Linked DNA regions of Macaca mulatta. The protein of the gene in region 1 interacts with the protein of each later gene in a pairwise test. Links are inferred from orthologs where the notes say so. Each region holds a gene or a part of one and is shown in the gene's direction. Other genes may lie near its edges. The genes, in order: BAG6, TAC1, RNF126, SPP1, KLHL12, ATXN2 and REG1B.

Region 1 (2,299 bases):
CTTCCCAGACCCATATGTTTGTGCCCTCTTGATGCCGTATTATTTCCCTATCTGCATTCTCACCTCAACCTTCTGTTCTTTGTTCCTTTTCTATTTGCCAGGCAACACAGACAGCCCCTCCACCACCCCCACCTCCTCCACCCCCACAACCTGCCCCAGAGCAGCAGACCATGCCCCCACCAAGCTCCCCTTCTGGTGGGGCAGGGAGTCCTGGAGGCCTGGGCCTTGAGAGCCTATCACCGGAGTTTTTTACCTCAGTGGTGCAGGGTGTGCTGAGCTCCCTGCTGGGCTCCTTGGGGGCTCGGGCTGGCAGCAGTGAAAGTATTGCTGCCTTCATACAACGCCTCAGTGGATCCAGCAACATCTTTGAGCCTGGAGCTGATGGGGCCCTTGGTGAGCAAAAGGGGGTGCTTTGGCTTGCTCCAGGAAGGGGCAGCCAGAGGAAGGTAGATGGCCTTGGTTTAGGGGTGTTGCCAAGGTGGGATGAGGTTGACACCTGGTTGTGGGTGGGCAAGCCAGGTGGTAAAGGCGATTGCTAACATCTGCCCCTGTCCTCCAGGATTCTTTGGGGCCCTGCTCTCTCTTCTGTGCCAGAACTTCTCTATGGTGGACGTAGTGATGCTTCTCCATGGGCATTTTCAGCCACTACAACGGCTGCAACCCCAGCTGCGATCCTTCTTCCACCAACACTACCTGGGTGGTCAGGAGCCCACCCCCAGTAACATCCGGGTAAATGAAGGCCAGGGGCCCCAGAGCTCTCCTCCTTTGCACATTTTATTCCTTGTTTCTGACTGCTTCTCTGCCAGGTAAAGCTCCAATTGCCCCCACACAAGCCCTGGACTTGTTGGGGTCAAGGTGGAAGTCTTGGGAGGACCGAGGCTTTGAACTAAACCTGTTCTGTTTCCTCCGCAGATGGCAACCCACACATTGATCACGGGTCTAGAAGAGTATGTGCGGGAGAGTTTTGTGAGTAACCCTTCTCTATTCCCCTCCTCTCCTGGGTCTGGTCAAGGCAGCTGCCTCCTCCGTTCCCAGTCTTACGATTCCTGTTTTTGTGTATCTTGTCTCTCAGTCCTTGGTGCAGGTTCAGCCAGGTGTGGACATCATCCGGACAAACCTGGAATTTCTCCAAGAGCAGTTTAATAGCATTGCTGCTCATGTGCTGCATTGCACAGGTCAGTGGCTGGCCAGGCTGGGGCAAGTGGGGCCTGTTGGATGTGCAGGGCTGCCATGTGCCAGCATTCCCTCATTGTGTTTTGCCCACAGATAGTGGATTTGGGGCCCGGTTGCTGGAGTTGTGTAACCAAGGCCTGTTTGAATGCCTGGCCCTGAACCTGCATTGCTTGGGGGGACAGCAGATGGAGCTTGCTGCTGTTATCAATGGCCGAATTGTAAGCACCACCTAGCCCCAGGTCCTTAGCCTTTTGTTTCCTGAGGTTTCCATTCGCTGCAGTTTTCATTTTTGTTTTCTAAACTGATGTTCTATACCCCAGATCTAATATATTAGGAAAGGTGGTTGAGGGTTTTATGTTCTAAATCTGCTTTCTGCCCCTCAGCGTCGTATGTCTCGCGGGGTGAATCCCTCCTTGGTGAGCTGGCTGACCACTATGATGGGACTGAGGCTTCAGGTGGTACTGGAGCACATGCCCGTAGGTCCTGATGCCATTCTCAGATACGTTCGCAGGGTTGGTGATCCCCCCCAGGTAAGGGACCTGTTGGGCAGTGGGGTCAGGGTACTTGAGAGAACTGGAGAGATCTGAGAGGAAATATGTTGTTGTTTTTTTTTATTGAGACAGAGTCTAGCTCTGTTGCCCAGGCTGGAGTGCAGTGGCACGATCTCGGCTCACTGCAAGCTCCACCTCCCGGGTTCACGCCATTCTCCTGCCTCAGCCTCCCGAGTAGCTGGGACTACAGGCGTCCACCACCTCGTCCGGTTAATTTTTTTTTTTTTTATTTTTAGTAGAGATGGGGTTTCATCGTGTTAGCCAGGATGGTCTCGATCTCCTGACCTCGTGATCCGCCCGCCTCGGCCTCCCAAAGTGCTGGGATTACAGGCGTGAGCCACCGTGCCCAGCCAAAATATGTTGTTCTTTAATTTCACAGCCTCTTCCTGAGGAGCCAATGGAAGTTCAGGGAGCAGAAAGAGCTTCCCCTGAGCCTCAGGTACTCGGGAGAGGGGGAGGTTGAGGGGCCAGATAATGTGGAGTGGAGGGCTGGGGGAGAAAGGTTTGGAGGTGGCCGGCGCGGTGGCTCAAGCCTGTAATCCCAGCACTTTGGGAGGCCGAGACGGGCAGATCAC
Region 2 (4,271 bases), on another chromosome or scaffold:
TGATTTCAACTAGTAAACTGCGTGGGGAGGAATTAGGAGGCAATGAGAAATATTTGAATGCTAACTGGATATTTAAGGTAAGGAATTATTTTATGTTGTTTTAGGTGGGAAAATGGTATGGTTATGTTTTTATTTTTTTAAATGCTTACCTTTTATACAGTGATGCTGAAATATTTACAGTTGAAATGACTAAATGTCTGGGATTTTTTTTCAAAATAATTTGAGTGCAGAGGAAACTGGAAGGGTTGTAGATGAAACCTGGAAGTGGATGTACCTCTCTACTTTTGGAGATGCTGATAATTTTCCATATAAAAGTTCTGAAAACAGAAAATAAAATGCTCACATTGTGAGGCTAAGGTCAAAAGAAATCAGAAATGCATGAGAATTTCCAAATCCAGGGTTATTTAAGAACAACATAGAGGAAAAAATTTCTGGTTTAAGTTGCAAAAATGTGTTTCTTTTATACAATATACTAACAAATCATAATTAACTGAAAAATGTAACACTTTATATGTAAAGGGAAGAAAACTACTCCACCAAAGATGCCGCATTCATTTAGAGATCAAAGAAATGTGTCTGCCAGGCAACCAAGGGCTCATGGAAAGCTGTGGTTTGTGTACAAATGCTATTTGTCTAATATTTTGTGCGTTAATGACTGTCCCATTAGCATCTTCACTACACTTATTTTCATAGAAAGGAGAAACATGATTTATAGAGCCCTTTAGTGACAAGGGTGAGGATCCTATACATTATGTTGCTGGTTTCCTAGTCTTCAGCAAGAAAGTGTAGGAGAGAAGCAAAAAAAGTCCTGTTTCAACCCCTGCTCCTGGATGTGACAAGGAAGAGGAGTTACCCAGCTTGAAACAAAAGAAATCCTAAGTCTGACACACAATGTCATGTTTAAATTCCCCTTTCTCCAAAATGTAAAATAAATGTGCTTCCATCTTCTAAAATACTATGGGACTAAACAACCTTTTGTAATGCTAAGGAAATGCCAGTATTCTCATTGATTTAGGAGAGGGATGTTCTGGTCATAGAAAGATGCTGTGTCTCAGAAACACTTAAATACTCTTAAGCTAGAAATAGAGGGGAAAAGAATGCCTCCCTGCATCTCCCCTCAACTGAAGTCCTCCTTTCTTAGCCTGATTTCCGATGAAATGTCTGAATGCCTACAGTTACTTGGCCATCCTCAAAAGTGCAACTTATCCTGACGTCTCAAGGGACGAAAAAGTTACCGAAGTCCAAGGAATGAGTCACTTTGCTCAAATTTGATGAGTAATCTCAGGTGTCATGAAACCCAGTTTCAAAGGAGAGGGGAGGGGGCGTCAGATCTGCAGACGGAAGCAGGCCGCTCCCGATTGGATGGCGAGACCTCGATTTTCCTAAAATTGCGTCATTTAGAACCCAATTGGGTCCAGATGTTATGGGCATCGACGAGTTACCGTCTCGGAAACTCTCAATCACGCAAGCGAAAGGAGAGGAGGCGGCTAATTAAATATTGAGCAGAAAGTCGCGTGGGGAGAATGTCACGTGGGTTTGGAGGCTCGAGGAGGCTGGGATAAATACCGCAAGGCACTCAGCAGGCGAAAGAGCGCGCTCGGACCTCCTCCTTCCCGCAGCCACCGAGAGTGCGGAGCGACCAGCGTGCACTCGGAGGAACCAGAGGAACCCAGCACCCCGCGGGACTGTCAGTCGCAGTAAGTACCCGCGCAGTGCCGGCCGCGGCTGCCCGGGTCACTCCACCCCGCATCTGTCCGAGGTGGCCGCGCTGGGCGCGCCGCTGCGGCGAGGGACAGTGGGGAGACTGGCTTCCCAAACGCCAACGCCCCTCTTTGTCTTCCACCTGCAGAGTTTCCTGGTTTGAAGGTGTGGGTTGGTGGGTTAGAGGGCTGAGGGAGTTGGGATTCAGGGAGAAGAGGGTTGGAGAATCTTTGGGACGCGATTCTCTCGCCTAACGGGTGCAGGTGAGACTTTAGTCCTTGTATTTTTGATCTTAGTTCATCCGTTGTGGGGCAGAAAATTCTGTTGCTCTAACTCTTGGATAACCACCCCTAATAGATATATTATTTCTCTCTTTGGTCTCTTCTCCCACTACCCCTTCCCAGAAATTCAACATGAAAATCCTCGTGGCCTTGGCAGTCTTTTTTCTCGTCTCCACTCAGCTGTTTGCAGAAGAAATAGGAGCCAATGACGATCTGAATTACTGGTCCGACTGGTCCGACAGCGACCAGATCAAGGTGAGGCCCCTTCCCAGGACAGCCCGCACCCTTCTTCCTGGGCTCGGGAGCTGTCACCTTCCCACGCAGCAGCACCCTAGTTAACGTGGCAGGCACCGCGACCACGACGAGAGGCAGCGGATGCGTGCGGGAGGATGGAAAGGGGCGCTATTTCCCGGGTTCCTCACGGGATTTTGTGCCCACGATTCAAGTTTCTTCCCGAGGGCTGCACCGTCCAGCCCAGGAACTCCCTGCAGCAGGGATGCCCTCCCGGATGAGCCCGAGATCCCCACAAGATCATAAATCTCGTAAGCTTTCATCCCTCAGGAATGGGGATTTCGGGGGCTCCGGTCCAGCTGCACTGCCCTAGCGTCTGGGCACGGGCAGAGGGCGCCTTGGTCGCGGGCAGCAGCGGGCACACGCGTGAGCTGCAGGGGGATTGGAGGGCCGGAGGCTGGAGGGAAGTTAATTTCCTGCCTTCACGTTTGTTTTGCGGACCTGAGGATGTAGCTTGAAGTTTCCCTTTAGAAACTCGTAGGCTACTGGCGCTGGGGAGCGCGCCTCGGGAAAAGGGTGAAAGTCGTCTATAAAACGTTGTCACCCTTTCCCACCGCAGCCCCAGCCCCAGATCACACACACCTGTGTGCATTTAGGGTGGTGAGGAGTCTACAAAGCCGACACCGAGACAAGACAAAGTCAGGTGGCGGCGCGGCAGATGAGGGAAGGTCCCCGGGCTGGGAGGAAAGAACGGAAAGCGCTCGAGGCTTGAAGACGCCGAGCCAGCTGCTAACTCGCCCTGGCAGGCTTGCGGGGGACGGGACGCGGGTTCGGCGAGGAGGGGCGCAGAGAGGGAGCGCCTCGGGAGGTACCCCGCTCAGCCCGAGCGTGGGGAAGGCTGCCTCCGCCCGCCTCGGGGCCGGAGTACAGCGGGAAGGGCTCGGGTTGCTGGGTGCCTCGCTCCGGTTGCCTTACACGCCCTTTGTCCGTGCTTTTGCCCCCCAGGAGGAACTGCCTGAGCCCTTTGAGCATCTTCTGCAGAGAATCGCCCGGAGACCCAAGCCTCAGCAGTTCTTTGGATTAATGGGCAAACGGGATGCTGGTGAGATGGGCGACCGTCCCTAGGTGTCTTGGGCAGCCCGTCCTGTCTGCTCTCTCCTTCTCGGAGTACCCCAGGGTCTCTCGCTCTGAATAAAGATTTCCACTCCAACAGGGGTGTAACCCAGGCGCGACATTGGCCCACACCGCACTAAGGCGCGCACGGGCCCGCAGGGGGAGGGAAAGATCTGGTTCGCATGCCTCACTGTGTTCGAGTGAAGCGCTCCCTTGACTAAAGATCCAAACTGACAAAGGGAAGACACGGGCCTCCAGGGGTAGTACTGCGGTTGATTCAAGTGCATGTGGAACAGGATTTTGTAGCATTCCCTGACATGAGAGTAGATTTGTCTTGGGATAGAAATATTGTTTCCTTGAATTTATCGCACCGTCAGTGGAACATGTAATGACAATTCGTCTCTTGTCAGATTCCTCAATTGAAAAACAAGTGGCCCTGTTAAAGGCTCTTTATGGTAAAGATTCCTATAAATCTTTATTTTACTATTTTGTAAAGCACATGTAGGAAAGTGAAATAAAATCTTTTATGGGCTGAAATACAAGATCTAGATGATGCCTGTTTAATAAAGAGATGTATTTGCATACTCTCTCTCGATCTCTCTGTCACTCCCTTGCTGTCACTCTCTCGCTGTCACTCTCTCTCTCTTTCTCTCTCTCTCTCAATGGGTGGCCAGTCTTGAAGGTGGGAAATACTACAGTCTTATAGTCAATAAGAGGTCTCAAAAGTCTCATAGTCCTAGGTTTGAATCCCATAGAAGGCACTTAATAAAAATTCCATTTGTTTGTTTAAATATTTAGTTTTTATTATTAATAAGTTGTTTAGCATTTATGGTTCTGCCTTATTCCTCAGGATAATATATAGATAGAAAATGTTACATATTTTGATAATCAAATTATTTTATAAAAGATATAATGTAGCATCTTTAAAAACAAATGTATATGTGT
Region 3 (2,719 bases), on another chromosome or scaffold:
GGTGGGGGCTGTGCTGGCGTCCAACCCCCCGGGTGTGTGGCTGGCAGGCCCTGGCGTCCGTGGCTCTGGGAGCCCTTTCCTCTGTGCGGGCAGCAGCGTGCCATTCCCTTCTGTGAGGGCCGGGCCGGAGGGGAGTGCTGGCGACCTGTGCAGCCGCTGACCTCCCTCAGCCTTGGCGACTGATCTGGTGACCCAGGCCCTCCGGGGAAGGGGCCACGGGGGCCCCACCCACATCCTCACGCTCAGGAGGTTGTTGGTGTCTGCACTGGTTTCCAGAGAAACCTGTGGTTTACTGGCGAGGGAAGAAGCGGCAGGTTATGGTACCAAATGCAGGGGCGGTGGCAGGTGGGAAGCAGTGCTGAGGACAGTGCCACTCTCCCAACACAGGCTTTTGAGGGGAGGGAGCGCCTGGCGCATGGGGACACGGGGCAGCCAGTGCTGCTGACACTCACTGTCTTCCCAGGAGCACAGAAAATGGTTCTGCCCCCTCCACAGCCCCCACGGACCAGAGCCGGCCACCACTGGAGGTGAGTCGCCCACCCCTCGTGCTTCCTGATCCTGTCGGCCTTGCTCAGGGCCCCGAGCACCAGCCTGTCCCCACCTTGCCTCCCTGGGCTCTCCCTGCCCGTACGGCAGAGGACATCCATCCCTCCAGGGGCCCGGGCTGGGTTTGGGGTGGCCCACGCTGCTCAGTTGGGGCTGATGAAAGTGAGACTTCGTCAAGGCGGCTCACACCAGCCAGGCAGGCTCTGCCCAATTCCCGCCTCCCTCCCACCCAGCACCCAGCAGGGCCCGTCTTGCTTTCTCTTTTGTCTTTGTGCCCTAGTGCCCCCAGCAGACTGCACCGGCCTGAGCCCCGAGGTCACGCCCCCTCCTCTCCCCTGCACCGGCCTGAGCCCTGAGGTCACGCCCCCTCCTCTCCCCTGCACCGGCCTGAGCCCCGAGGTCACGCCCCCTCCTCTCCTCAGCACGTGGATCAGCACCTGTTCACGCTGCCGCAGGGCTACGGACAGTTTGCTTTCGGCATCTTCGATGACAGCTTCGAGATCCCTACGTTCCCTCCTGGGGCTCAGGCTGATGAAGGCAGGGACCCTGAGAGCCGGCGGGAGAGAGACCATCCGTCCCGGCACCGGTATGGCGCCCGGCAGCCCCGCGCCCGCCTCACCACGCGGCGGGCCACCGGCCGGCACGAAGGCGTCCCCACGCTGGAAGGGTGAGGGGGCCCCGGGGGTGGCCGCGAGGGCCCCACGCCGTGAGGTCGGAAGTTCTGGTGCTTAGAATTCAGCAGCACGTGTTCCACGGAAGTGTGGCGTCATCCGAAGGCTCTCTGGAGAGGCCGCCCGGCCAGGTGCTCCAGCCCCGTGACCCCCACACTCTCTGAGAGCCTCGGTCTGTGACCCACTGGGAGTGGGGGCCCCACACAGCCCTTCAGAGACAGAAGTGTGCTGGTCCAGGGCGTGTGCATTGACCACAGAGCGGGGCGCAGCGCGCCTGCCAGGCCCACGTACTTTGGGGACTGCTGTTCACATGCGTATCATCAAACACCGTCCTGCCCTTGGGCCTGGACCAGAGCCTGGGCGAGCCTTCACTGGGCCCCCCTGCTGGTGGAGCAGAGCCCGGGCCTCCCCTCTCCTGGCGATTGATCCTTCTATGGTTGTGTGTCTCACCTGCTGGAAATATCATCGTTAAAAGTGGCTGATTTTGCCGCACGGTGGCTCAGCGCTGTAGTCCCAGTGCTCTGGGAGGCCGAGGAGGAAGGATCCTTGAGGACAGGAGTTTAAGATCAGCCTGAGCAACATAGGGAGGTCCCGTCTCTAATTTTAAAAAACTAGGCCAGGCGCGGTGGCTCAAGCCTGTAATCCCAGCACTTTGGGAGGCCGAGACGGGCGGATCACAAGGTCAGGAGATCGAGACCATCCTGGGTAACACGGTGAAACCCCGTCTCTACTAAAAATACAAAAAAAACTAGCCGGGCGAGGTGGCGGCGCCTGTAGTTCCAGCTACTCAGGAGGCTGAGGCAGGGGAATGGCGTGAACCCGGGAGGCGGAGCTTGCAGTGAGCTGAGATCCGGCCACTGCACTCCAGCCTGGGCAACAGAGCGAGACTCCGTCTCAAAAGAAAAAAAAAAAACTAGTCAAGGCCGGGCGTGGTGTCTCACACCTGTAAGCCCAGCACTTTGGGAGGCTGAGCAGGCAGATCACTGAGGTCAGGAGTTTGAGACCAGTCTGATCAATATGATGAAACTCCATCTCTACTAAGAATACAAAAATTAGCCGGGTGCAGTGGCGCATGCCTGTAATCTCAGCTACTCAGGAGGCTGAGACAGGAGAATCACTTGAACGCGGGAGGCAGAGGTTGTAATGAGCCAAAATTGCGCCCCTGCCCTCCAGCCTGGGCAACAAGAGCAAAACTCCATCTTAAAAAAAAAAAAAAAAAGAGCTGAGAGTGGTGGAGCTCTCCTGTGGACCCAGCTGCTTGGGAGGCTGAGGCAGGAGGATCACCTAAGCCCAGCAGGTCGGGGCTGCAGTAAGCCAAGATCGAGCCTCTGCTCTCTTGCCTGAGCATCAGAATGAGACCCTGGTTCATAGTAAAGTAAACAAATAGAAGCTAATTTAGAAGTTAATGCTGGTCCTGCCCTTGGTGCTTACCACGGACCTGGGCAGGCCTGGCGCCTCCCAGTGCGTGGGGCGGCCTCACCCCATGACTGGCCCCCTCTGTT
Region 4 (2,439 bases), on another chromosome or scaffold:
AGAGAAGCCCAGTATGAAGCCCCTCTGGTTAGAGCCAGCCATGAGAGAAACTCTAATACTTCTGACTGGTTTTCTCTCTACCCATCCACCCCTTAGGTGGCTGCAGAAGGGACTCTGTACAACCCCCAGAGTTATTCTGAATGACAGGGACATGTAATGATTGGCCCTGAATGATTCAGCAGATCAGATGACACTTACACAGAGCAATTTCCACTCCTCTGCAGTAGCATATTATCAGTATTTTCCAGATAAATAACTTGGCTAAAGAAAAATCCATTTCATTTACATCTTTGGCACCTTAGAGCTATAGAACTTTTGTGCAATGATTTTAATATTATATTTCTGCATTGTCTGGTAAGATAGCTGCCAGATACATATGGCTATGGAGTACTCAAAATGTAGCCTAGTGCAACTGAGGAACTGAATTTTTATCTTATTTCTTCGTTTTTTTTTCTTTTGAGATGGAGTCTCGCTCTGTCGCCCAGGCTGGAGTGCAGTGGCACGATCTCGGCTCACTGCAAGATCTGCCACCTGGGTTTACGCCATTCTCCTGCCTCAGCCTCCCGAGTAGTTGAGACTACAGGTGCCGGCCACCATGCCCGGCTAATTTTTTTTTTTTTTTTTTTTTTGGTATTTTTAGTAGAAAGGGGGTTTCACTGTGTTAGCCAGGATGGTCTCGATCTCCTGACCTCATGATCTGCCTGCCTCAGCCTCCCAAGATTTCAGGCGTGAGCCACTGTGCCCGGCCATTTCATTTTAATTAACTTAAATGTAAATAGCCCCATGTGGTTAGAGTATACTGTATTAGACAGCACAGCCTTAGAGAGTTCCTTCTTGTTCCATGGACTGGACACAGTGAAGATCAACAGTAATTAAAGGCACGTCTGGTTTAGATGTGCTTTATCTGAGAGGAAAATTCAGCCAGCAAACATACAAAAAGAAAGCATAGTGTGAAGTTCAGGGTTAAGAGCTAGTTTGCCTGCGTTTGAATCCTGCCTGGCTCTGTCATTTCCTACCACTTAACTGCATTGTGGCTGATTGTAAGGTGGGAATATTAATGATACCCATCTCATAGGGGAATGAGAGGATCAAATGAGTTCATATTTGTAAAGCAATTTGAAAGAGTGCCTAGCCCACACTAAGTGCTACATAAGAGTGTATTAAATGAATCTGCAAGAAAAAAAAAATTACAAAAAGGTACCTAAGGGTCTGAGTGACTATATGCATGCATATTATGCTTATCCATCAAGACTGGTGAAGAATGGTTGTTTTTTCCATTCATCCCTACGTTTCTTTTTTTAATAATGATAAACATGCAACTTTTTTATAGCTTTACAACAAATACCCAGATGCTGTGGCCACATGGTTAAAGCCTGACCCATCTCAGAAGCAGAATCTCCTAGCCCCACAGGTATTTTTAAACTTCTCATAATTAAACTACAACGATGAAAGATAGCTACAAGCAGGCCATTTGGGCTGCTCAGATGAATCCTGCCTGCCCGCTGGCAAGCATGTGCTTAGGACATTGACTGATCTGCCATGTTGGCTTCTTCCCGTGTTAAGCCATCCACAGATGAGGCAGAAAAATAAAAACTGCTTTGGATTAAAAAGGTTAACTTTTGAATAAAAAAGCTAGGCATGTGTGATGCACACTAACATGTGCCATTCCTTCTTCAGAATGCTGTGTCTTCCGAAGAAACCAATGACTTTAAACAAGAGGTAAGTTCTCATTTTCAATCAGAGGCCCATCATACCTTGAAGAAACGAAAGAAGCCATTGCCTGGATTCTCTTCTGATGAAATTTCATTAGCTAATTTTCCAGTAAATTGGCAGTCTTTAAAACTTGCTCAGAAAGAAAACATGTATTTACTAAATATCAGAAATACTAGGTTTCCTCAGATATGTTTAGCATTACAGAAAATGTTCATTAATGCCTGTTATTTGAAACATTAAGCTGATTGCAATTTATTTAAGGTATTTTGTAGATATCAAATATCTAATAAGCATCTAATTAATGCCTATCAAAGCTAAGATTTTGCCTTTAGGAAAGTTCTCTTTCCTAATAAAATAGTTTATTTGACAACTATTCTTTTTATTAGGATCATTCATATATTTGCTAAGCAAAGAGTAAATTTATTTTCCTTAAGATTCAATTTGAATATACTAAGAATATTAAATCAAGTTAAATTACCCAATATATTTGTCAATCTGAAATTTAATGGACATTAATTGTTTAATTCAAGGACAGTTTTGAGCTGCAGTTTATACACACATGCATAACAGTCACCTTTCAATTATTCATGCTAATAGGAAAGGGGTTATAGATTTTAGTACACACATTAAAATAGGGATACTCTTCTCTTTTGATAAATCTCATTTCAAATTTTAAAAAGTCTCATAATTATGTGTCTGTATCTATTACATCATTGAATTTAGTAA
Region 5 (3,977 bases), on another chromosome or scaffold:
AGAATTTCCTTAGAATCAATTCAGCGGTGATGACAGGGACCATTATGATGCAGAGTATATACTGAGGTCTGTGGGTCGCAGGGCTCAGAGGATTATCGCCGCAGCGTTGTTCGGCACGAAAAGGCCATTGTGGACAATGGACGTGAAAAAATTTGAGGCCTCTGTGGGTTTTCTCGATGTCAAAAAGTTTCTCAGTACCTGGAAGGTAAAACATACTTGCTGCAATCAGATGCTTGGCATATTAAGCGTTGGAATTCTCTCTGTGTGCCCTGCCTCGTGAGCAGTAGGGAGGAACTCAGGCTCAGACAGTCGCTGAGCTGTAGATACATTCCCAGGCTCCCTGCCGGACCCCACAACATCCGGCCTTTTTTGTTTTTTTCTTTTTTTTTTTTTTTTGGAGACGGCGTTTCAGTCGGTCGCCCAGGCTTGAGTGCAGTGGCGCGATCTCGGCTCACTACAACCTCCGCCTCCTGGGTTCTAGCGATTCTCCTGCCTTAGCCTCCTGAGTAGCTGGGATTACAGACGCGTGCGACAACGCCCGGCTAATGTTTTTTGTATTTTTAGTACAGATGGGGTTTCACCATGTTGGCCAGGCTGGTCTCAAATTCCTGACCTCAAGTAATACACCCGCCTTGGCCTCCCAAAGTGCAGGGATTATAGGCGTGAGCCACCACGCCCGGACTTTTTTTTTTTTTTTTTTCAACAGGGTCTCTGCAGTGGCGACTCTGGCTTACTGCAACCTCTGCGCCTAGCTCAAGTGATCCTCCTGCCTCAGCCTCCCGAGTAGCTGGGACTACAGTCGGGGCCACCACGCCGGGCTAATTTTTTTTTTTTTTTTTTTTTTTTAGAAACGGGGTTTTGCCGTGTTCCCCAGGCGGGTGTGGAACTCCGGAGCTCAGGTAATTCGCTCGCCTCGGCCTGCCAAAGTGCCGGGATTACAGGCGTGAGCCACCATGCCCTGCCCACCAGACCTTTTTCTAATTCGGCTTCCTAGCAACGTGCAGAGGCCCGGCACCAGGGTACAGGCAGGTCACGTGACACCACCTCTTCACGTGACGCAGACTCGAGCGGGAGGAGGGCGGTGCTCCAGCTGCATTGCGTCATCACGTCGCGCGGCCGCAGGGACCAGACCTGGACGGCTCCAGAGCCTCCAGAGCCTCCGGGTGGGGGCGGCGGCGGCGGCTCTTCGGCTCTTCCTGAGCCGCCTGCTGGCCCCGCGCCCCACTCCATCCCCACAGGCTGGGGACGGGCCCGGCGCTGCTGTGTGGGCTCGGGAGCGGAGGTGAGTTGCGCGGAAGTGATGGCAGTCAGCCCTTCCCTTCCTGTCCGTCAACTCCGGGTTATGGCCCTACCCCCCATCCTTGGTCTCCCTGTAAGGCGGAATGGGAGACATGCCGGAGAGAGGAGGAAGGCTGGCGGGGGGGCGGGGCATCTGGCCTCAGTCGCCCTCTCAACTCTCCCCTGAATTGCCCCCCTGCGATACCTCCATCTGGCGGCGCCGGTCATATGCCTGGTGGTATCAGAAGGAAGGAGTTCGTTTCCTTCTCTAGAATGTAGTCTTTCCGGAATTTACTACCCCATTCCTGCCCCGAATCTCCCGAAGTGGAATCCCTCTATTCAGATGTTAACGGAAGTTCTAGAAAATAGGTCACTTCAGAAGGGTGAGGGTGAAGGATATGCTGAGACTTGGAGTGTTGAGGCAGGAATCCCCTAGAAGGAAGGCCACTCTGCACTAGGGGTACTGTCATTTTGGCACGGAAACGATAAAACACCCCCCAGGCTGTCTTCACTGTAAATGGACGTTTGTTCCAGACTCTTTTTGCACCCCTAGAGTTGAAACTAAGTTGACTTAAGTCTTTTTGAAAAACATATGCTTTGATGAATCACCCCCTTTTCTGCAAAATGGGTCATGCAGTTGTTGGAGGGATTATCTATAGTGCTTATAGAGTAAAATGCCAACTATAAACAGAAGTAGATGAGAATTTAGGATCTCATTTTTCCTGTTGAAAAATTACTTGTGAGTTGCGAACTTCTGGAGACCACAGTTTTATTTCCTGCCGTCCCCCTACCCCCGCCCCGCCGGATCGTTTCAGAAAGTTTTGGATTCCAATATTGATTCGTTAACCAGTAATGGACATTTACAGATATAGAGTAGGAATACCCTCTTGTTGAGGAGCTTCAATATCTTAAGCAAGTGTAAGTCCATCGGTAACTTGCGTGGTTTCCACTATTCAGTTAGGGTAATAGGTCAATTGAAGTTTCTTTCTTTCTTTTTTTTTTTTTTTTTTTGAGACAGAGTCTCGCCCTATTGCCAGGCTGGAGTGCGGTGGTGTGATCTCATCTCAATTCAACCTCCACCTCCTGGGTTCAAGCGATTCTCGTGCCTCAGCCTCCTTGGTAGCTAGGATTACAGGCGCGCGTCACCACACCTGGCTATTTTTTGTATTTTTAGTGGAGGCTAGGTTTCACCATGTTGGCCAGGCTGGTGTCAAACTCCTGACCTCAACTGATCCACCCATTTCAGCCTCCTAAAGTGCTGGGATTACAGGCGTGAGCTACTGGGCCTGGCCTGAAGTTTCATTTTAAGAAGAAATCCAGATATAGCTGAAAGTCATCAGACATAATTATTTGGCTACTTCTTTAGAAAAAAGTTTATTTTTACTGACTGGCCTTTCTCTCTCTAAGTTGAAGTTGAATACACACTTATTCTTACATTAAATTGTAAACATTCATTGTGCAACTTCTAGGATAGAAAGCATACATATAAAGCAGGATCCTCAGCCTCTAAATACTTATCTACTTAAGGATATTAAATAGTAATGATATAACACCTTTAAGAAATTGTATATTTTCAATTTGTCATTTGAGACAAGAACCTTGTGAAGATTTACAGGACATATATTGTTTATCTCTACTTACGTTTCAGCATTGATCATAATAAATGTCAAGTGGTAGGGACACTCCGTGGTAGAGGAATTCAGAGAAAGAAGAGAGAACTTTTACATGTACTAGATAGTGGCTAGATAGTGGTGGTGATGCCAGGCATAGGAGTGCCCTCAACTTGTGTCTGTTTGGGTCTGAGGGAAGCCTCTTAGGTTCTTAATTTGTAAAACTAATTAAATATGTTCAGTTTCCCTAGTTCTTTGAATATGCTCATTGTTTTTTTTCTCTTGTAGCTTCAGAATCCAAGGACCCATTTTGTTTTTTCTCCGCACTGCTTTATGGGAGGCATTATGGCCCCCAAAGACATAATGACAAATACTCATGCTAAATCCATCCTCAATTCAATGAACTCCCTCAGGAAGAGCAATACCCTCTGTGATGTGACATTGAGAGTAGAGCAGAAGGATTTCCCTGCCCATCGGATTGTGCTGGCTGCCTGTAGTGATTACTTCTGTGCCATGTTCACTAGTGAGGTAAGTGATAAGTTAGCCCCACACAAATGAAACTCCCGTGGTACTCTAGTTGTCTTATTTCACTGAATAAAATAGTAGAACTTTGATATAATTGTGAATTTTTACAGTGTGATGTTTTGGCAGATTCTGGATAAGATCTACCACTTAGATGACTATGCTTTAGTTTCCTCATCTTTAAGTTAGGAATAACAGTAATATGTAATAACTGGTTATTAAGGTTATTGTGAAGATTATTTTATGAAATAACGTACAAAATGCTTAGAGTAGTTTAATATGCAGTAAAACACAAATGTCAGCTATTGGATTTTACTATTTCTTAAATTTGTTTTCCAATTTTTCTCCTTTTTTTGTTTTTAATTTTATTTATTTATGTATTTATTTGTAGAGACAGGGTCTCACTGTGTTGCCCAGGCTGGTCTTGAACTCCTGGGCTCAAGCAATCCTCCCACCTTGGCCTCCCAGAGTGGCCACATCTGGCATTACAGGTGTGAGCCACTGCACCTGGCCTTTTCTCCTTCTAAAGTCTAAAAATTTTTAAGTGAGTACCAGAGGGATGAGGAG
Region 6 (3,500 bases), on another chromosome or scaffold:
TTTTCTGACTCACTTGTACATGTGTGTCCCACCCTTGGTCCAGCCATTGGTGCTTTGCTTTACTTCTTTATTTTTGTTATTTATTTTATTTTATTATCATTATTATTTTTTAATGAGAACAGGGTATCACTATGTTGCTCAGGCTGGTCTTGAACTCCTGAGCTCAAGCAGTCTGCTTGCCTCAGCCTCCCAAAGTGCTGGAATTACAGTGATGAGCCACTGTGCCTGGGTCATTGGTGCTATCCTTTTACTTTTTTTTTTTTTTTCCGAGACGGAGTCTCGTTCTGTCACCCAGTCTGGAGTGCAGTGGCGTGATCTCGGCTCACTGCAAGCTCTGCCTCCCATGCTCACACCATTCTCCTACCTCAGCCTCCCGAATAGCTGGGACTACAGGCGTCCGCCGCCATGCCCGGCTAATTTTTGTATTTTTAGTAGAGACGGGGTTTCACCGTGTTAGCCAGGATGGTCTCGATCTCCTGACCTCGTGATCTGCCTGCCTCAGCCTCCCAAAGTGCTGGGATTACAGGCATGAGCCACTGCGCCCAGCCCCCATTGGTGCTATTCTTTTATGTGATAGAGCCATCTTCTCTCTTTTCTTTGGATTTTTAAACATATTCCTCCTTTTACTTAGACTATTCTCCATCCCAAACACCTCTCCTAAACTTCTTTCACACCTTAGACTAGCTGAAACTTCCATTAAGAAACCTTTCTTTTTTATAGGTTGTTTTTTCTATAGAATCTCTTAGCATTTACTCATTTTGTTGTGAAGTGTCTGATCTTATTTAGATGACAAGTATAGGAGGATAGAAATTTTTTCATATTTTTCTCACCCAGCAAGCACAATTTCTGACATGTGGTAGGCATTCAGTAAATATTGAACTTTAGAGGCTAAGACATTTGAGTGCTTTGGTAACTGTGGTTGTGCTATATAGGTATTCTGTTATTGTTACTTTATAGTAAAAGCATTACTCTTAAAGTATGAAAAAAGCCTTATTCAAAACATTTCATGCATATAGTTAATATTACTTTGCTTGTGCTCATGGCAAAAATGGATTACTAAAGTTATTTAAGATATTTAAGTATAATTGTTTCCTTTATTTAGTTACAGCCAAGTTCTACTTCTGAATCTATGGATCAACTACTAAACAAAAATAGAGAGGCAGAAAAATCAAGAGATTTGATCAAAGACAAAATTGAACCAAGTGCTAAGGATTCTTTCACTGAAAATAGCAGCAGCAACTGTACCAGTGGCAGCAGCAAGCCGAATAGCCCCAGCATTTCCCCTTCAATACTTAGTAACACGGAGCACAAGAGGGGACCTGAGGTCACTTCCCAAGGGGTTCAGACTTCCAGTCCAGCATGTAAACAAGAGAAAGATGATAAGGAAGAGAAGAAAGACGCAGCTGAGTGAGTAAACCTGGAACTTAGACCATCCTGTTACTCAGTTAATTTTTTTTTTTTTTTTTTAAAGGCATTTAGGTCCTTCCAACTGTGAAGAATCCATCTGGACTTTTAGACTGCTTCATACATTGCCCTTAGTTTACAAACAGCTAGTCCAAACAAATGACATCTTAAGTAAATTAGGTTATTGCACCCTGTGCTACTCTTGTTCTTCCCCTTTTTTGCACCCCAGGGCTAGAAAAACAAGGCATAAATTAAGAAAAGTTTTTCTGTAAATGAACAGGAGTTGAAAAATTATCAGTTCAGGAGACCTATCTTTACTGGATTCCACTCATTAGTCACCCTCACTGTGCTGCTAGGATGAAAAACTGCCACTGTCAAGGAGAGAAGCATGCGATGCTTCTACTTGGAATTCAAAATATTTTTCATCAGAAACAGTGTTTTAGTTAATGTTTAGATTTGTTAAAATAGACTTAATTCTGCACATTCCATATATTTGTTAAATGGACTTTCAGGGGCTAACCTCAGAACTTAACTACCATTGACTTAGGTGTTCTGGGTACCAAACAATCCAGTTAAAGCTAAAGTTTTGGAATGTAGCTTATTGATAAATTGGGGACTGCTTATTCTTGATTTGAGGCAAATTTTTTTTAGAGCCATGATTTTCTGCAGGTATGTTATGTAGATAATATCTTCTCACATAAAAATTACTTCATGCTAGAATATTGGTATGTTGACTGGTGGCTCACACCTATAATCCCAGCACTCTGGGAGGCCGAAGCAGGTAGATTACTTGAGGTTAGGAGTTGAAGACCAGCCTGGCCAACATGGTGAAACCCTGTCTCTACTAAAAATACAAAAATTAGCCAGTCATGGTGGTAGGTGCCTATAATCCCAGCTACTCAGGAGGCTGAGGCAGGAGAATTGCTTGAACCCGGAAGGTGGAGGCTGCAGTGAGCCGAGATCATGCCACTGCACTCCAGCCTGGGTGACAGAGCGAGACTCTGTCTCAAAAAGTAATAATAATAAAAGAATACTGGTATGTTAAGAAGTGCTTTTAAGGATATTTTATAAGTAGCTACTGTCTTTTCAGCTCAAGTGTTTGTTGATTGGCCAGGCGTGGTGGCTCACGCCTGTAATCCCAGCACTTTGGGAGGCTGACTCAGGCAGATCACTTAAGGTCAGCCTGGCCAAGATGGTGAAACCCCATCTCTACTGGGGAAAAAAAAAAAAAAAAAAAAAAAAATTAGCTGGGTGTGGTGGCAGTCGCCTGTAATCTCAGCTACTCAGGAGACTCAGGTAGGTGAATTGCTTGAACTGGGGAGGCAGAGGTTACAGTGAGCCAAGATTGCACTGCTGCGCTCCAGCCTGAGCAACAGAGTGGGACTCTGAAGGAGAAAATAAAGTATTTTTTGATTGCCTTTGAGAGGAGCAGTTGTATATTACTCAGATTTTTAAAAAATTGTTCTTTTATGACTATATTCTTTAAGGGATTAAGGAATTGGCAATATAAGTGCGTATGTTTCAATAAAGAGGATTAGTGATCTTCTAGTGAGAACAGTTTAAATCTATGTTTAGCAGTGTTTCTTTTTTTTTCTTGAGACGGAGTCTCGCCCTGTCGCCCAGGTTGGAGTGCAGTGGTGCGATCTCGGCTCACTGCAAGCTCTGGCTCCCGGGTTCACGCCATTCTCCTGCCTCAGCCTCCCGAGTAGCTGGGACTACAGGCGCCACCACCACGCTCGGCTAGTTTTTTGTATTTTTAGTAGAGACGGGGTTTCACCATGTTAGCCAGGATGGCCTCAATCTCCTGACCTTGTGATCCGCCCGTCTCGGCCTCCCAAAGTGCTGGGATTACAGGCTTGAGCCACCGCGCCCGGCCTAGCAGTTTTTTTTAAATTGTCAGGTATGGAAGATTTTAGAACAACATAAAGTCCATGTAGATTTCACTGGCCTTTTTTTTTTTTTTAGGCAAGTTAGGAAATCAACATTGAATCCTAATGCAAAGGAGTTCAACCCACGTTCCTTCTCTCAGGTAGGTTTATTACTTTCTTTGAGGTTATTTAGTCCCCTAAAAAGAAAAATTAGTAGTCCTTCTTCCA
Region 7 (4,261 bases), on another chromosome or scaffold:
ATTCCAGATTTGCTGTTGCTCCCTGAATCTGAATGGATTTTTAATGGGAATTTCAGTAAGTGTTTAATTTCCATCACTATCTGTAACTTCACAACAACAGATGATTGACTTCAAACCAACAACTTCATATTCCACTACTTTGAGCTTACTTAGGCATCACCTCCCTGTAGTTCCCACCTGCTTGGACTTTGAGAACATCTGTAGCCTGCTAGCTACTTATACTCAAACCTTGCTGGAAATGCTGGTTTAAATTTACATAACTACTAAACCTTGTGATATGGTGTGGCTCTGTGTCCCCACCCAAATCTCATCTCAAATTGTAATCCTCATAATCCCCATGCGTGGATGGAGGAACCTAGTGGGAGGCAATTGGATCACAGGAGTAGTTTCCCCCATGCTGTTCTCACAATAGTGAGTCCATTCTCACAAGATCTGATGGTTTTATAAAGGGTTCTTCCCTCTTCACTCTCTCTTGCTCACCTGCCACCATGTAAGACATGCTTTACTTCCCCTTCGTCTCTATGACTGTAAGTTTCCTGAGGTCTCCTCAGCCTCAGGAAAGTCTGTGAGTCAATTAAACAGTGAGTCAATTAAACCTCTTTCCTTTTTAAGTTACCCAGTCTCTGGCAGTATAGCAGTGTGAAAATGGACTAATACACTTTGCCTTCTGAAGTAGGTTTGAGAGCTTCCTGAGCCTGAAAGGGAATGGAGAAATGACTTAAAGCCACCAGCTAATTGGGCTTAATCATTTGCACTCAATTGACTCTTCCCCTACCCCTACCCACATCTAAACCAAAGAAAGGATCATCCCATATTTACATAGCACAAAGAAATCTACCCTTCTGCTCTTTCTAGGATGGCTAAAGGCCATGGGAACTGGACACGTGGATGCTGTGGGGGAAGGACAAAGCCCAACATCAACTTGGACAGTTTACTAACCTGTTTATGGTAAGTTGATATCATTTGTGACCACTCCTAATGTGTGCCAGTAATAAGCTATTCCTGATGCCAGAATCTCTTACTGTTAGTGCCCTTTGTAGGCCTTCTGACCCTTACTCCTTGCTCCACCCACTGTTTATATCATGTGGTTTTCTCTCAGACCCTGATATAAAGCTCCTACTCTGTCTGACCTGACAAGCCACCTCAAGTGGACAAGGCACTTACCAACAGGTAAGGGGGCATTACAGGAGAAGAGCATGTCTAACATGGGATTTTCTCTTCATTTTGAGGTAGATACAGGGTGATTTTCTGAATAAAAGATCCCGGTAGTAATGAAGCTTAAGCAAAACCAAAGCTGATTTTGGGTAATTTGGCCTCTGTTATCCCCAAACCAAAAGAGAAATATCTGCGAGTGTAGCTATCTCAGTGGACCTTCCTGGTCACAGGAATTCCAAGAGGAGAGGATGTTAGAAAGATAATAGGGGCTCTGCTCTCTTCTTCAAACCCTCTTCCCTGTGTTCTCCTACAGAGATTGCTGATTTGCTCCTTAAGCAAGAGATTCACTGCTGCTCAGCATGGCTCAGACCAACTCATGCTTCATGCTGATCTCCTGCCTGATGTTCCTGTCTCTGAGCCAAGGTGAGATTTTTTCCCCCAGACCTCCCACAACCCCAGCTCTGAAGTCTTCCCTCCATCCTCATGCATAGGGTTCACTTGAAAAAAAGCAGAGTCAACATCAGAGGTTGATCATTATGGCTGATCTCATCCCATTCAAAAACATCCTCATTTCATTCATGAGTTTGAGACAGAATTTAATAAGACCACTTATAGGTGACCATTGTGGTTGAGTTTATCTAATTGAATCTATATGTGATGGCAGTTGGATGTTTTTATGTAGTCATTAATAGGATGGAGAGCTAAGGCAAACATGTACAGGGAAATCAAGAGAAACTTGAGAAAGGTGGAAGACTGGGTCTTTAAAGGCAGAAGCCTGAGCCTCAGAAATAAAAGGGAAAACGAGGACACATTTCTTTAGCCTATTCATTACAAGCTCTTGTCTTGAGCAGAGGAAACTAGAAAAAAAAAAAAGAGATAGGATGCAGGGAGCAGAAGTAAGGAGTCACTCCAGTACACACTGTATCAGTATGTTCTTATAACGGAAACTGAAAAGCCCCTAATTCACCTTCCAGCCTTTTCCTTGCCCTGAGAGTCTTTCTTAATTACCTCTTTTTTTCCCTCAGGCCAGGAGACCCAGACAGAGCTGCCTAATGCCCGAATCAGCTGCCCAGAAGGCACCAATGCCTATCGCTCCTACTGCTACTACTTTAATGAAGACCCTGAGACCTGGGTTGATGCAGATGTGAGTGAGGACAGCAGCAGGGGAAGGGAGGCTCATGAAGGTAGTGGCAGCTGCTAATTTGCAGTGTGTTCTGTGGCTGCAATGAGATAAGATTGATCCCTTCCCTATTCCACCACTGGTCCAAAACTTCCCAATCTACTTTATCCCATTATTTAACACATTCCTAGCACAGAGATACTGGTGGTCAGTGACAGCGTCACCAGGGACATTTCTGTGCTGTCCTTTTTCTGTTACATCCTCTGGAAGATCTCAGTAGATCCTTCACACCTTCCTCCTCCACTGAGTGCTCCATTTTCTTCACCTACAGCTCTACTGCCAGAACATGAATTCAGGCAACCTGGTATCTGTGCTCACCGAGGCAGAGGGTGCCTTCGTGGCCTCACTGATTAAGGAGAGTAGCACTGATGACAGCAATGTCTGGATTGGCCTCCATGACCCCAAAAAGGTCAGTCTGCAGCCTCCTCTATCTCCTTATAAACATTTTTGAGAGGTAAGAGGGATGTTTAAGGTCTGGCACCTCGAGCGCCAACTTTTATCTTTTTGTTTTTCTAAACAAAAGAAACCTCTTTATAGATCCTATAATGTATGAGTTGTGAAGTTCAGTGTAGGTAGTTAGAGACATGAGCTGAAGGCTGAATTTTCTGGGCTCCTGGGAATTCATGCACACACTCATTGTGTCAACTTTTGGAAATGCATCTTTATGTACAACTTCTTCCCTATTTTGCTATTGTCTGTCTTGGAAGAGGTCCCTCTGTAGACTGTATAGGAAAAGAGTAGTGGAGGAGAAATCTACTGCTGGCATTTGTTATACATTTTATACAAATGTATAAAACTGTACAGTAGTTGTTGATATATTATTTAGTTTAACACTGTAAGTGTTTAGTTTAACACTATAAGTGTTAAACTAAACAATATATCAACAACTACTCTACAGCCAATGTTATGTTGTATATGAGAGTTCTGAGCTTCAGGAAAAAAGATCAGAACCACTCTCTGTAATGGGCTTTTATGGGTCTCTGTATCAAACTCTGAACACTTACTATTTGCTGGAAGAGGAGGAGGAATTTGGACATTCCAGAGAAGGAGCAAAAGCAGAGGAAATAATACGACATTCATGGTGACAACAATGATTATTCTTTCTGCTATATCTTGGCCTGTTTCTGAGTGTGCACACAGGCCTGGTTATTCTATTGATTTTTGAGTGACCATGGCCCCTGTTCTGACCCTTCTCCACCTAGAACCGCCGCTGGCACTGGAGCAGTGGGTCCCTGGTCTCCTACAAATCCTGGGACATTGGAGCCCCAAGCAGTGCTAATGCTGGCTACTGTGCAAGCCTGACTTCATGCTCAGGTGAGAGGCAGACAATCTATCCATCTGTTGTTATTTCCCTCCCGTTTTTCTCTGGGGATGAACATGGGAACTGGGATAGAGGAAAGGTGAGCTCTTTATCTGGAAAATAAAGGAATATTTCCTCTTGTTTTTTGTTCTGAGTCCTAGATCGAGGAGGGGCTACCCTCCTTCTGATCCTCTCTGTCTGACTCTTCTCATTATTCTATAGGATTCAAGAAATGGAAGGATGAATCTTGTGAGAAGAAGTTCTCCTTTGTTTGCAAGTTCAAAAACTAGAGGCAGCTGAAAAATGGATGTCTAGAACCACTCCTGCAATTACTACAAAGTCAAAAATTAAACTAGACTATTTCTCCAACTCCATTCAGACCATCTCCTTCCTAATGAGTTTGCATTGCTGATCTTCAGTACCTTTACCCATCCCAGTCTGTAGAGCCCTGAAAAATAAAAACAAACATATTTTTCTCCATTGTTCTGTCTTCTGCATTTGCTCTTTCTACAGCCCATGCTTGGGTGGTTGGGGTGGGAATGATTGTCACACTCCAGAGCTTGCCCCGGCCCATCCGCTTGTTAAAACCCCACTCACATTTTATGTATGTCGGGCTTATGAACATG

What was found.
Region 2: the proteins of BAG6 (region 1) and TAC1 interact in a two-hybrid assay, tested with the Homo sapiens proteins (2 studies listed by BioGRID and IntAct). The link is inferred for Macaca mulatta from reciprocal best matches to the Homo sapiens genes BAG6 and TAC1.
Region 3: the proteins of BAG6 (region 1) and RNF126 interact in binary tests that used the Homo sapiens proteins (3 or more experiments, as listed by UniProt). The link is inferred for Macaca mulatta from reciprocal best matches to the Homo sapiens genes BAG6 and RNF126.
Region 4: the proteins of BAG6 (region 1) and SPP1 interact in binary tests that used the Homo sapiens proteins (3 or more experiments, as listed by UniProt). The link is inferred for Macaca mulatta from reciprocal best matches to the Homo sapiens genes BAG6 and SPP1.
Region 5: the proteins of BAG6 (region 1) and KLHL12 interact in binary tests that used the Homo sapiens proteins (3 or more experiments, as listed by UniProt). The two-hybrid records come from large-scale screens. The link is inferred for Macaca mulatta from reciprocal best matches to the Homo sapiens genes BAG6 and KLHL12.
Region 6: the proteins of BAG6 (region 1) and ATXN2 interact in binary tests that used the Homo sapiens proteins (3 or more experiments, as listed by UniProt). The link is inferred for Macaca mulatta from reciprocal best matches to the Homo sapiens genes BAG6 and ATXN2.
Region 7: the proteins of BAG6 (region 1) and REG1B interact in a two-hybrid assay, tested with the Homo sapiens proteins (2 studies listed by BioGRID and IntAct). The link is inferred for Macaca mulatta from reciprocal best matches to the Homo sapiens genes BAG6 and REG1B.

The regions. Positions count from the first base shown.
Region 1 is NC_133409.1:150,681,240-150,683,538, forward strand, and holds part of BAG6 (large proline-rich protein BAG6), read left to right. Parts: intron 1-101; coding exon 102-393; intron 394-559; coding exon 560-729; intron 730-912; coding exon 913-966; intron 967-1,072; coding exon 1,073-1,175; intron 1,176-1,266; coding exon 1,267-1,391; intron 1,392-1,556; coding exon 1,557-1,703; intron 1,704-2,103; coding exon 2,104-2,163; intron 2,164-2,299. UniProt on the Homo sapiens protein: ATP-independent molecular chaperone preventing the aggregation of misfolded and hydrophobic patches-containing proteins.
Region 2 is NC_133408.1:121,646,605-121,650,875, reverse strand, and holds the start of TAC1 (protachykinin-1 precursor), read left to right. Parts: upstream 1-1,471; 5' UTR 1,472-1,697; intron 1,698-2,105; 5' UTR 2,106-2,114; coding exon 2,115-2,237; intron 2,238-3,218; coding exon 3,219-3,315; intron 3,316-3,736; coding exon 3,737-3,781; intron 3,782-4,271. UniProt on the Homo sapiens protein: Tachykinins are active peptides which excite neurons, evoke behavioral responses, are potent vasodilators and secretagogues, and contract (directly or indirectly) many smooth muscles.
Region 3 is NC_133424.1:1,305,434-1,308,152, reverse strand, and holds part of RNF126 (E3 ubiquitin-protein ligase RNF126), read left to right. Parts: intron 1-463; coding exon 464-527; intron 528-968; coding exon 969-1,213; intron 1,214-2,719. UniProt on the Homo sapiens protein: E3 ubiquitin-protein ligase that mediates ubiquitination oF target proteins. Depending on the associated E2 ligase, mediates 'Lys-27'-, 'Lys-29'-, 'Lys-48'- and/or 'Lys-63'-linked polyubiquitination of substrates.
Region 4 is NC_133410.1:97,302,919-97,305,357, forward strand, and holds part of SPP1 (osteopontin precursor), read left to right. Parts: intron 1-1,330; coding exon 1,331-1,411; intron 1,412-1,677; coding exon 1,678-1,719; intron 1,720-2,199; exon of another isoform or gene 2,200-2,439. UniProt on the Homo sapiens protein: Major non-collagenous bone protein that binds tightly to hydroxyapatite. Appears to form an integral part of the mineralized matrix. Probably important to cell-matrix interaction.
Region 5 is NC_133406.1:60,591,088-60,595,064, reverse strand, and holds the start of KLHL12 (kelch-like protein 12), read left to right. Parts: upstream 1-1,177; 5' UTR 1,178-1,282; exon of another isoform or gene 1,283-1,310; intron 1,311-3,139; exon of another isoform or gene 3,140-3,176; coding exon of another isoform or gene 3,177-3,221; coding exon 3,222-3,416; intron 3,417-3,977. UniProt on the Homo sapiens protein: Substrate-specific adapter of a BCR (BTB-CUL3-RBX1) E3 ubiquitin ligase complex that acts as a negative regulator of Wnt signaling pathway and ER-Golgi transport.
Region 6 is NC_133416.1:118,688,554-118,692,053, reverse strand, and holds part of ATXN2 (ataxin-2), read left to right. Parts: intron 1-1,102; coding exon 1,103-1,407; intron 1,408-3,369; coding exon 3,370-3,433; intron 3,434-3,500. UniProt on the Homo sapiens protein: Involved in EGFR trafficking, acting as negative regulator of endocytic EGFR internalization at the plasma membrane.
Region 7 is NC_133418.1:45,548,946-45,553,206, forward strand, and holds REG1B (lithostathine-1-beta precursor), read left to right. Parts: upstream 1-1,461; 5' UTR 1,462-1,514; coding exon 1,515-1,578; intron 1,579-2,180; coding exon 2,181-2,299; intron 2,300-2,606; coding exon 2,607-2,744; intron 2,745-3,537; coding exon 3,538-3,649; intron 3,650-3,857; coding exon 3,858-3,925; 3' UTR 3,926-4,115; downstream 4,116-4,261. UniProt on the Homo sapiens protein: Might act as an inhibitor of spontaneous calcium carbonate precipitation. May be associated with neuronal sprouting in brain, and with brain and pancreas regeneration.